3 linked regions of the Cricetulus griseus genome follow. The protein of the gene in region 1 purifies or fractionates together with the protein of each later gene. This does not show direct contact. Links are inferred from orthologs where the notes say so. Each region holds a gene or a part of one and is shown in the gene's direction. Other genes may lie near its edges.

The links.
Region 2: the proteins of Ppp1r7 (region 1) and Ubxn2a purify together in Homo sapiens (affinity purification with mass spectrometry; 3 studies listed by BioGRID and IntAct, counting the BioPlex papers as one, with this or other methods). This does not show direct contact. The link is inferred for Cricetulus griseus from reciprocal best matches to the Homo sapiens genes PPP1R7 and UBXN2A.
Region 3: the proteins of Ppp1r7 (region 1) and Sh2d4a purify together in Homo sapiens (affinity purification with mass spectrometry; 3 studies listed by BioGRID and IntAct, counting the BioPlex papers as one, with this or other methods). This does not show direct contact. The link is inferred for Cricetulus griseus from reciprocal best matches to the Homo sapiens genes PPP1R7 and SH2D4A.

What each region holds. Positions count from the first base shown.
Region 1 is NC_048595.1:444,832,949-444,836,302, forward strand, and holds the end of Ppp1r7 (protein phosphatase 1 regulatory subunit 7), read left to right. Parts: intron 1-1,562; coding exon 1,563-1,739; 3' UTR 1,740-2,853; downstream 2,854-3,354. UniProt on the Homo sapiens protein: Regulatory subunit of protein phosphatase 1.
Region 2 is NC_048600.1:15,658,170-15,661,687, reverse strand, and holds part of Ubxn2a (UBX domain-containing protein 2A), read left to right. Parts: intron 1-1,587; coding exon 1,588-1,694; intron 1,695-3,315; coding exon 3,316-3,453; intron 3,454-3,518. UniProt on the Homo sapiens protein: Acts to repress the ubiquitination and subsequent endoplasmic reticulum-associated degradation of CHRNA3 by the STUB1-VCP-UBXN2A complex in cortical neurons.
Region 3 is NW_023276806.1:245,081,210-245,084,727, forward strand, and holds part of Sh2d4a (SH2 domain-containing protein 4A), read left to right. Parts: intron 1-1,932; coding exon 1,933-2,044; intron 2,045-3,518. UniProt on the Homo sapiens protein: Inhibits estrogen-induced cell proliferation by competing with PLCG for binding to ESR1, blocking the effect of estrogen on PLCG and repressing estrogen-induced proliferation. May play a role in T-cell development and function.

The sequences.
Region 1 (3,354 bases):
ACACTGCATTCTCTTCCAGTGACCCTTCACCCTGCCTTCCCCGCACTGCATTCTCTTCCAGTGACCCTTCACCCTGCCTTCCCCGCACTGCATTCTCTTCCAGTGACCCTTCATCCTGCCCCCCTGCACTGCATCCTCATCCAGTGCCGAGGCCTGTTTTCACATGTAGCCTGTCTGTCCCATGGTAGGTTCTCAGACTACAGAGGTCACTTCTCCAGGAGTGGTGCACTGCTTCTTCCTACAACTGCTTGCTGTAGACCCTGCACCTAGAGTGTCTGCAGACATGACTTCTGACGTCTACATGGGCAGAACAGGAGCTGTAATAAGAGTCCTGAAGCTTGACAGTAGACTTGGCTCCTCTATTCAGGCTGTTGACATAGCAGCTTGCCCTGCCATTTAGTTTCTCTGTCTTCAAAGCCGTAAGTGCAGTAGATCACATCTGGCCTTAGTGATATGAGTGGCCAATTGTGCACACCCCTAACAGGTATAGTTAGTGGTGGCATATTGGTGCTAAGTCAGCCACGGTACTTACACCATAGAAAGTAGCACATTCAACTGATCATGGTTTTTCTGTCTTGTAGAACAAGCTGTTGGTTAAACATTTGCTAGCATAACATGGCCCATATCTAGGTGGCTATTTTGCTAAAGGTGCCCTTCCCAAGCTTCTGCCTCAGCACATAGACTAGAAAATGGGTTTGGACAGTTTAATCTGGTACTGTAGATTCTTACCCAAGGTAGCTTTGTCTCAAAAAATTGATCCCAATCTGAAGCCACATGCATCTGTTGGACAACATCAACCATTTCGGTCTCATCTTGATGGCACATTTGAGAAGGGAGGGCACTCTCCTACCAGGCTCAGACCCCAGCCCACTGTGGGGTTCAGTGTTCCTCATCTGGTGTTGGCAGTGTTGGTCAGCCATTGGTGGCCTTTGCATCCAGGAGTTAGCAGTGGAGACTCCTCAGAAATGAACCACCAAGGTGATCTAAGGGTCATGCTTGGAGTAGAGCAACCTCTGGCCAGTGGCATTACAGTTGGGGCAGTCTCAGTCTTGGCAGCAATTGGTGAGAGCAAGTATGTAGAAAGAGTAGCCAAGCCAGCTGCAGACCTGCCTATGGCCAGGAGGTATGCAGCCAGCATGCCTCATCTCTTGTTGTTAATGAACATAGTCTGTGCATGAGCAGGTAGAACTTTTCACAGTGCTGCTGAAAGGTGGCCAGGAAGTGCCAAGTGCTAATGGAAGGATCTATGAGGAATTGGGATAAGGAGGGCTATAGAGTAGTGGTTGTTAACCTGTGGCTCGAGATCCCTTTGGCAAGCCTGTCTCAAATTATTTACATTGTGATTTATAACAGAAAAATTTCAGTTATAGAGCAGCAACAAAAATAATTTCATGGCTGGGGGTCACCACAACATGAAGAACTGTACTAAAGGAGTGAAGCTTTAGGAAGTTGAGAACCAGCTCTTGTAGAGTGTATTAATGACCGCCGTCTCATATTTAGGGTTCCCGGCACGTAGGGGCAGGGCTGACCTCTAAAGACTTTTTTCTCATGTCTTCCTTCAGATGAATGACAATCTCCTGGAGAGCTGGAGTGACCTTGATGAGCTCAAGGGTGCCAGGAACCTGGAGACTGTGTACCTGGAGCGCAACCCCCTGCAGAAGGACCCACAGTACCGGCGGAAGGTCATGCTGGCTCTACCCTCCGTGCGGCAGATCGATGCCACATTCGTCAGGTTCTGAGTCCTCCTTGCTCCTCACCTGGTCCCTCTTCCCAGCCACGGTTTTTTAATCTACCTATTGCTCCTGAAGTCGTCACTATACCAACAGTCACAACCCAATGGCAATAATAAGGCACTGGTGGTAGCTGGCCTGAGACACCACACACCATTTGGAGATGCCAACACTATTAAATCTTGCCACGTGGTCTTCCTGGTGAATTGGTGACGGTTATTGTAGCCATGGAGAGAATGCAGGACATGTTACAGTCATTTGTTCTTCCTGTCTGTCTATGTCCTTAGCCTGGCCTGCCCCAGCAGGCCCTCAAATCAGTTTGCAGGGTTTAAGCAGTCATGACCGATAGCAACACATTTGATAGTCTTTCAGACTATCAGTTTTGAGAAGAAAAAAATTATATTTTAAAAACAATTGCATAAAGGGGCTCTGATCTCAGATGCTGTAACCCTCAGAGCCTTCCCATCATGAGTGGTGGCTGAGCACACTGGGCTGTAAGACCTGTTTCTAGGTGAGAGCTGAGACATGGAGACCTTCACTCCATACCCCTCAACTGTTGACCTCGGTGATTCTCAGAAGCGTACCTAACTAAAGCTCTGGCCACTCCCGTTCTCGACCATGATCCTCTGGCCTTATTTAGATGACATTTCTCTGAGCAAACCTCTAGGGCATGACTTGTGCTGCAAGAGCATTGTCATCCTTGGGAGCCTCAGATCTCCTCTTTCACACTGTAAGGACTGAATGTGGTCACCAAAGGCCCCTCTGCTTCCAGGACTCTTCGTTCTACACTAAGATGGGCCCCTAACTGCCATGTGCTGCAGTTACTGTTCATACCTAAGTCCAATGAATTTATTTTATCTCTTAATTGTGCTCACACTTTATCTGTTCAGGGGCCACATCTAGTGGGAGGCATCCCATTTCCAGCATCGCAGAAGGTTCTAGACAGCACTGCTCTAGACTTCTCTCAGTATCAGGGGATAGCCTGCCTTGAGCCGTGCAGCATGTGCCCACATGTCCACACTATCCAGTTAACTGCAGGAGTTTGTAATGTAAGAACGCTAACATGGGGTTTAACACCCATTTCCTGATTCTAATTCTCACCAAATAAACTGTATGATCTGAATCTGTGCGGCATCTCCCTGTCAAGAAGCAAGCTCTTAGCAAGGAAGGGTGGGTGGAGTAGCAGGCAGCCCAGAGAACACTGCCATAGCCCTAGGAGTGTGGGAAACATTTTGGACACAGAAGGACTGAAATGTAGGTGTCCCTACTGCAGTCACTCACAGGAGCCTCACACATCCAGTGATTCCATAGTGTATAAAGAAAGCTAATGGGGGGTGGGGTGGCAGTCACCAAAGCAGCACAACCATCTCAAGGATGCAGCTGCAGGAGAATCTTAGCTAAGTGGAGCAGACGGGAACATGTCTCCAAGGGAATTTAAATTCTAGAAAGCTATTCCTTAAGCAAGCAGTGGTGGCACACACCTTTAATCCCAGCAGTCCAGAGGCAGAGGCAGGTTGATCTCTGTGAGTTCAAGGCCAGCCTGGTGTACAGAGCTAGTTACAGGACAGCCAGGGCTACGCAGAGAAATCCTGTCTGAAAACTCAAAAAACAAACCCAAAAAACA
Region 2 (3,518 bases), on another chromosome or scaffold:
TATTACTTACTTGAATTTACAAACCAAATAAATGATGCTTCTAGTTAAGAATGTCTGTGATGGAGCTGAGGAGGTAGCTCAACTGAGAGAATGCTTACATAGCAGACACAAAGCTCTGCATTCAACCCAGCATTTTGTAAACTGGGCATGCTGATATGAATCTGTAATCCCGACACTCAGGAGATGGAGAGTCAGGAGAACTGGAAGTCTGAAGTTGTCCTCAGCCACATAATTAAGTCAAGGCTGGAATATTCAGGATGCAAGGTTTACGTGGCAGGCACTTTAAATGTGAGGAGCTAGATTGGGACTCCCAGCTGCCACATACATAAAAAACCAAAAGACTCATTCCCAGGGCTGGAGATGCAGAGAGACAGACCATCCCTGTGCTGGGTGGCTAGCCAATCTAGCTGAATTGGTGAACTCCAGGTTCAGTCAGAGATATTTCAGTCATGATAGTACCAATTATAAACATTGATGAATTATAGTTTAAAAAGTAAACAAAACCTGGAAATGGAACACATTTATATATTCATTTATTTATTTATGGTTTTTCAAGACAGGGTTTCTCTGTAGCATTGGAGCCTATCCTGGCACTCGCTCTGGAGACCAGGCTGGCCTCGAACTCACAGAGATCCGCCTGCCTGCCTCTGCCTCCCAAGTGCTGGGATTAAAGGTGTGTGCCACCAACACCCGGCTCGGAGCACATTTATTTATTTTATGTGTTTGAATGTTTTGTCTGAAGGTATGTATATGTATATCTACCACATGTGTGCTGGCTGCCAACAGAGAGAGCCAGTTCTCCTGGAACTAGACAGAGTTACAGATGTTTAGTGGAGCAGGTCCTAGGAACCAAACCAACAACGAGTACTCCTAACTGCCTAGTGGTCTTTTTTTTTAATAATTTATTTAACTTTATATATATTGGTATGAAGGTGTCAGATCCCCTGGAACTGGAGTTACAGACAGTTGTGAGCTGCCATGAGAGTGTTGGGAATTGGACCTGGGTCTTCTGAAAGAGCAGCCAGTGCTATTAACTGCTCAGCCAACTCCCTAGCCCTTTATTGGGATGGGATAAAATAACAATTAAAGAAGACACGGACTTCAAGTTCTGGCCTCTACATGCAGCATACACACACCCATTAGACTTGGCTATTTTGGCAGGCATTTCCACAGAAAAATTAAGTGAGCCTGGTACTTCAAGGGAGACAACTTAAAACTGTATTTGTTACAAATGCAAAGATTTTACTTAGTCAACTTTTAACCAGAATAGGAATTTGAAGAAATCTCTTTCATGCATTTGACAGCTTTTCAAACTTACAGAATTTCCTCTTGATGTTAGTGTTATTTTAATAGCTATAATGTCTATCAGATAAGGAAATACATTAGCATTTAGATTTTCAAGGCTTCAGGAACCACTATTTTCTAAATGACTAATATGTTATTATAAAGTCATTCATTAGCTGGGTGTGCTAGTGAAAGCCTGTGAACTCAGGTAGGAGGATCTGGAGTTCAAGGCCAGTCTAAGCTATTTAGTGAGCTCAGGATCAACCTTTCTTACAATTCATGCCTGCCTTTACTGCCTTTTAGGTAGATATAAATATAAAATTGTGGAAAAATGGATTCACAGTCAATGATGACTTTAGAAGTTACTCTGATGGTGCAAGTCAGCAGTTTCTGAACTCCATCAAAAAGGGGTAAGCAGGATATATATATATATATAGTAGAAGGGTACTTCAGGCTAGTTTCTTATGAAAGAATCATTGATCTTTATCTTTCTCCCCATCCCCTATCCCTCCCCTCTCACTCTCCCTCCAGGCTAGCCTTAGACTCAACAGTACACTGCCATCTTGTTTTCTCAGAACTGGGATTAAAGACCATGCCCACCCCAAACCCCTTTTGTTGTTGTTTTACTTTTTTTTGAGACACAGTTTCTCTGTGTGACAGTCCCTGCTATCCTGGTACTGTAAATCAGGCTGGCCTTGAGCTCACAGAGATCCTTTTGCCTCTGCCTCCCTAGTGCTGGGATGAAAGATGTGGTCCACCATGCCTGGCTTGTAGTGCCTTTTTTATTTTTTTTAAATTGACATTTTCCTTAGAGAGCCATAACTAATTTTTTTGTTTTATTGGTACTGGGTCTCAAAATACAATATTGGCTAACCTGGAGTGTACTATGTAGACCAGACTGGCCTCAAGTGGAATTATGGGCATGCACCAATAAGCCCAGGATACAGCTATAATTTTGAAGTTTAGGAATTTGAATTCTGATCCATCAAAGTCTTGCCACTTATTCCTTAATGCCATACAAATAAGTACATATACGTGCACACACACAATAAAACTTTTTAAATTAGCATCATGTTGCAGTGGTGGCGCACACCTTTAATCCCAGCACGTGGGAGGCAGAGGTAGGCAGATCTCTGAGTTCGAGGCTAGCCTGGTCTACTAGTTCCAGGACAGGCTCCAAAGCTACACAGAGAAACCCTGTCTGGAAAGAAAAACAAAACAACAACAAAAAAGTAGCAGTGTGTAATCAAGTATTATGAATTTAATACTATTCTAGGTAATGCTATAAAACTGGACATGTATCTATTTATTTATACATATAAGACACCCCTGTGTGCTACAGTGTCCATATTGGAAGTCAGAAGACACTTGGCAGGGGTTTGTTCTCTCCTTCTACCATATGGGTTCCAGAGATGAAACTCTTATTAGGCTTGGTAACAAGTACCTTTACCAGCCCTATATATTTTTACAAGGGTCTGTTGTAGTCTAGGCTGACCTCCAACTTGCTTTGTAGTCAAGGAGAACCTTGAACTTCTGATCATCCTGCTTCCATGTCCCAAGTGCTGGGATTGTAGTGTGTACCACCATGGCTTGCTTATATGCTGCTAAAGACCTGCACATGCTAGCCAAGTGCCCAGCCAGCTAAACTACCTCCTTAATCCATACATTATACTTCTACAAATCATGTAGTTCTTTTGGCATATGGAATATGTATCTCAGAAAAAGGGAAAATAGGAACTTCTTTTTTTTTTTTTTTAACTACTCATATTTACATATCCATTCCCCATTCCCTCGTCCTCCCCTCCTCCCATGTTCCCCACCCACACCCCACACCCCACAGGCCTCCCCACTTCTCCCCAGGGATAGTGAAGCCCTCTACCAAGGACCTTCAAAGTCTGTCATATTGTTTGGGGGAGAGTGTAGGCCCTCCTTGCTGTATCTGGCCTGCAATAGTATCCCTCCATAGGGAATGGGCTCCCAAAGCCTATTTGTGGGAAAACAGGAACTTTATCGTTTTCTTTTCTTTCAAAGGGAATTACCTTCAGAACTACAGGGAATTTTTGATAAAGAAGAGGTGGATGTTAAAGTTGAAGATAAAAAAAATGAAGTATGTATGTCTACAAAGCCTGTATTCCAGCCCTTCTCAGGACAGGGTCACAGACTAGGAAGGTAAGTATGGTTATTGTGACAGACGTTTTCTCATTATTCTAACCATATAGAACTTAGTATTTCTG
Region 3 (3,518 bases), on another chromosome or scaffold:
ACTCCTGCACAGATGAAGCCTCACATAGGAACACACAAGTAGACAGAGACAGGGACAAAGAGACAGAGAGACTAAATAAATACATATGTATGTACTACTGTGTATCTGATTCCTCTACTAAGACATTCCATCCAGGAGGCAGGAGAAAGGGAGGGAAGCAAGATGGAGCAGTAACAAGAAGTGACAAGCACTCCCTGCTGCCTGCTCCAAAGTTAGATAAGCAGTAAATAATTGGTAGGTTGGAGGAGGCTTTTTAATGAATCTGCCTACAAGTTGGGCCAACAATTCCAGGGACCTAACTTTGATGAGTGGTTGACTTGGTGGGGTGGGCTTGGTGACTCATTTGCCTTTCAGTTGTCTGGGTTCCTGTCAGTGTCCCTAGAATCCTCATTGTTGCCTCAGTCTTGACATGGGGAGAATGTTTCTTTCATAACTAGTTTGTTCACATCTGCCCAGCAAGAGTTGTAGCAAATGACCAAAAATGAACAGAGTTCCTCTTTTAAGGGTTTGTGTTTTTTCCTTCTGTCCAAGTTTGAACATCTTGAGCTGTACTTCTATGTTCTTCAGGCTCATAACCAGCTTCAGTAATAGATGGCAAATTTTAGTAATCTCAAGAACCAAAAGCTGTTCCTTGGATTTTATAAAACACTGTGACACCAACAATGAGAGCTTGACTCTAGGCAGGAAAACAGTGTAAGAAAAAAATCAAAGTAGACGGTGTGTTCAAATACAGTTGAGCACAGATTCAGAGTATGACTGCCTTAACAGTGGTCGATAGCTTCCTACAGTGATCCAAACCAAGATTTGATTTCAAAAATGGTACAATGCTTTTATGGCAAGGAAATCTTTATGTACGTTGGGATGGGATGGTATATGATGTATCTACCTGGGAAAGGATGCACTTGCCAATATATGAGCATATAGAGGCCCCAGGAAGGCACTAGATGTCTTCCTCTATGACTTCATATATGTTTTGAGACGTGATCTCTCACTTAACCTAGAACATGCTGTTTGCCCTAGTATCCACCTGTGTCTACCCTGCCATCACTGAAGTTACAGGCACATACCCCAAGGCCCAGCTACTACGTGGGCACCAGGGATTCAGACTCAGGTTCTCAAGCTTATACAGCAAGTACTTTACGCACTGGTTGCATCTTTGTAGTTGGAAAGTCATCATTGTCACTTTTGTGGTCCTCTGTGTCACTTTTGTGGTCCTCTGTCTCCTCCTCCTGTGGCACGGGGGATTCAGCTTAGAGCTTTGCACATGGTAGGCAAGCCAGGATAGAGCTTTCACAAAGCTGGTCTGTGGACAACCTGTGTCCATGACCCTCTTAATTTTGAGACACAATCTTACAAAATTGTGCTGAACTTGAACTCACTCTGTGGTGTATTTCACTTTTTCAAAGGTGATACTTTTTGTGTGTTTGAAGGGCAAAAAAGCACCTCATTCCTTTTTTGAGCACCCCAAATCACATATCACATTCTCCTATTTGTTGGAGAACATTTAAACCCCACCCAGTTAAGATTGCTCTTGGGAGCCTGTTAGCTACCGCAGGTCAGTGTCTACGCTGGCCCCATGACTCCGCATATTTACATCAGAGAAATATATTTGGAATAGCTAAGTGCCGGTCTGGGGAAGGGTTGCTTAGATAGATCTTATGTGCTGTGCATTGTGCCAGGCACTCTTAAAGCATGGATGCTCACAGGAACTCTATGTGACGTTCTTTCTCACTTCTAGGAAAACAGCCTGCAGGAACAGAGTCTAGAGTCCCACACAGAGGTATCCAGAGCTCTTGCTTCAGGCATTGCTGACACCAAGTAGCTCCCTAGTGGGCCAGAGACAGTTAAATGGACCCAGAGTGCCTTATGCCCTCTTAAAGAAACTGTCACATTTGTTCACCACTTCCCATATCTATTTTTGTTTTCAAACAGACTAAAGAACCCATAAAGAAAAAAGAAGACGAAGACGTGAAACAAACAGAGGATGAGAAAACCAAGCAGATATACAAGAGCTGGAAGGAGGATTCCGAATGGCAGGCATCGTGTGAGTACCCCGGGGCCTCAGAGGCACCTCCAGGCTCGAGACTGGACCTTCCACTTGAGTGATTCATCAGGAGGCACAGAGAGTGCATCCTTGAGAAGTACCTTCCCATTGAGTTGTCACTCAAATGGTATCAGGAAGTGGTATCTCCTCAGGTGCCTGAGTAGCAGAATGGCTTTGCATTCATCTTTATACTGTTAAATTATGTTTCTGTATGGTGGAATTGTATATAGCTATGAAAAAATCCCACAGAAGAATATTCAATGACATTAAAATATGTCCCTTTCTTGGAGAAGAAAACATTATAAATAGTATAAAATATAATTATTTAAAAATTCTAAATTATTATTACTATTATGTTCTTCTTCTGTTTATTCACTCTGCCTGCCAGCCCTGCCTATCCCTTCTCTTGCCTGCCTTGTTATTGGCTGTTCAACTCTTTATTAGACCCATCAGGTGTTTGAGGCAGACAAAGTAACACAGCTTCACAGAGTTAAATAAATACAATATGAAAGAATGCAGCATATCTTAGCATCTTTAAACAAATATTCCATAACATAAACGAATGTTAACATATTTTAAAATAATATTCTACTTTGTAATACAAAGCATGCAGAATTGACAGATGGGATATATTTGCATCACTCTCACGATTCTATGCCTCTGACCCAACATTGACTCTCTTTTGAGCTTGTACTGCCAGGGCCAAACCAGGAAGACAGGACAGGCAGAGGATGGGCAACCCAGGCTGAAGAATGGCTGAGAGTCTTCACTTGGCACCAACAGAGAAGACTTGATTGTCACTTGAGACAGGGAGACAGGAAGAACCTAAACAGCAAGATTTTCAGGATGCTAAGGTCCTGAATTGGTCTGCAGTTCCATTACAATCCATTATGCTAAAAGTTTTGTGAAACAAAAATTATTTGCAAGATCCAATCTGTGACCTTCTTGTGCTAAGCACTGAAACTCTCGTATGATAAATAGTTTTTAGTGTCTTCAGTGTCAAATATGACAATATCTAAACCACAATGCCTGAATTATTTTTTAAAAAAAAACCTCAATGAAAATGGTTATTGAAAAAAAAAACAAAACAAGACACCCCCCCCCCCCGTGAAACTTCGAAGTCAGGGATAGTAATGCATGCCTTTAACCCCAGCACTTAGAAGGCAGAGGTAAGCAGATCTCTGTGGGTTCAAGGCCAGTACTGGGATAACCAAGGCCACACAGAGAAACCATGTCTCCAACCTCCCTGCTCCCAAAGTAAATAGTTACTACATCCTGCATTAATCTTTAACGCTACACTGCTAAAAGATGACAACCCCATCTATTTTAGAAAGTAATTAATGTTAAAGGGCATATTGTGAAGTGTTTGTACATTTACTAAGGTGTTCTGAAATTCTCCACAGCATGTTTATGGCTTAAAAAAAAAATCCTTTACTTCTGGTCTCTTTGGCCAACTCATATTCAGTTAAGCCTA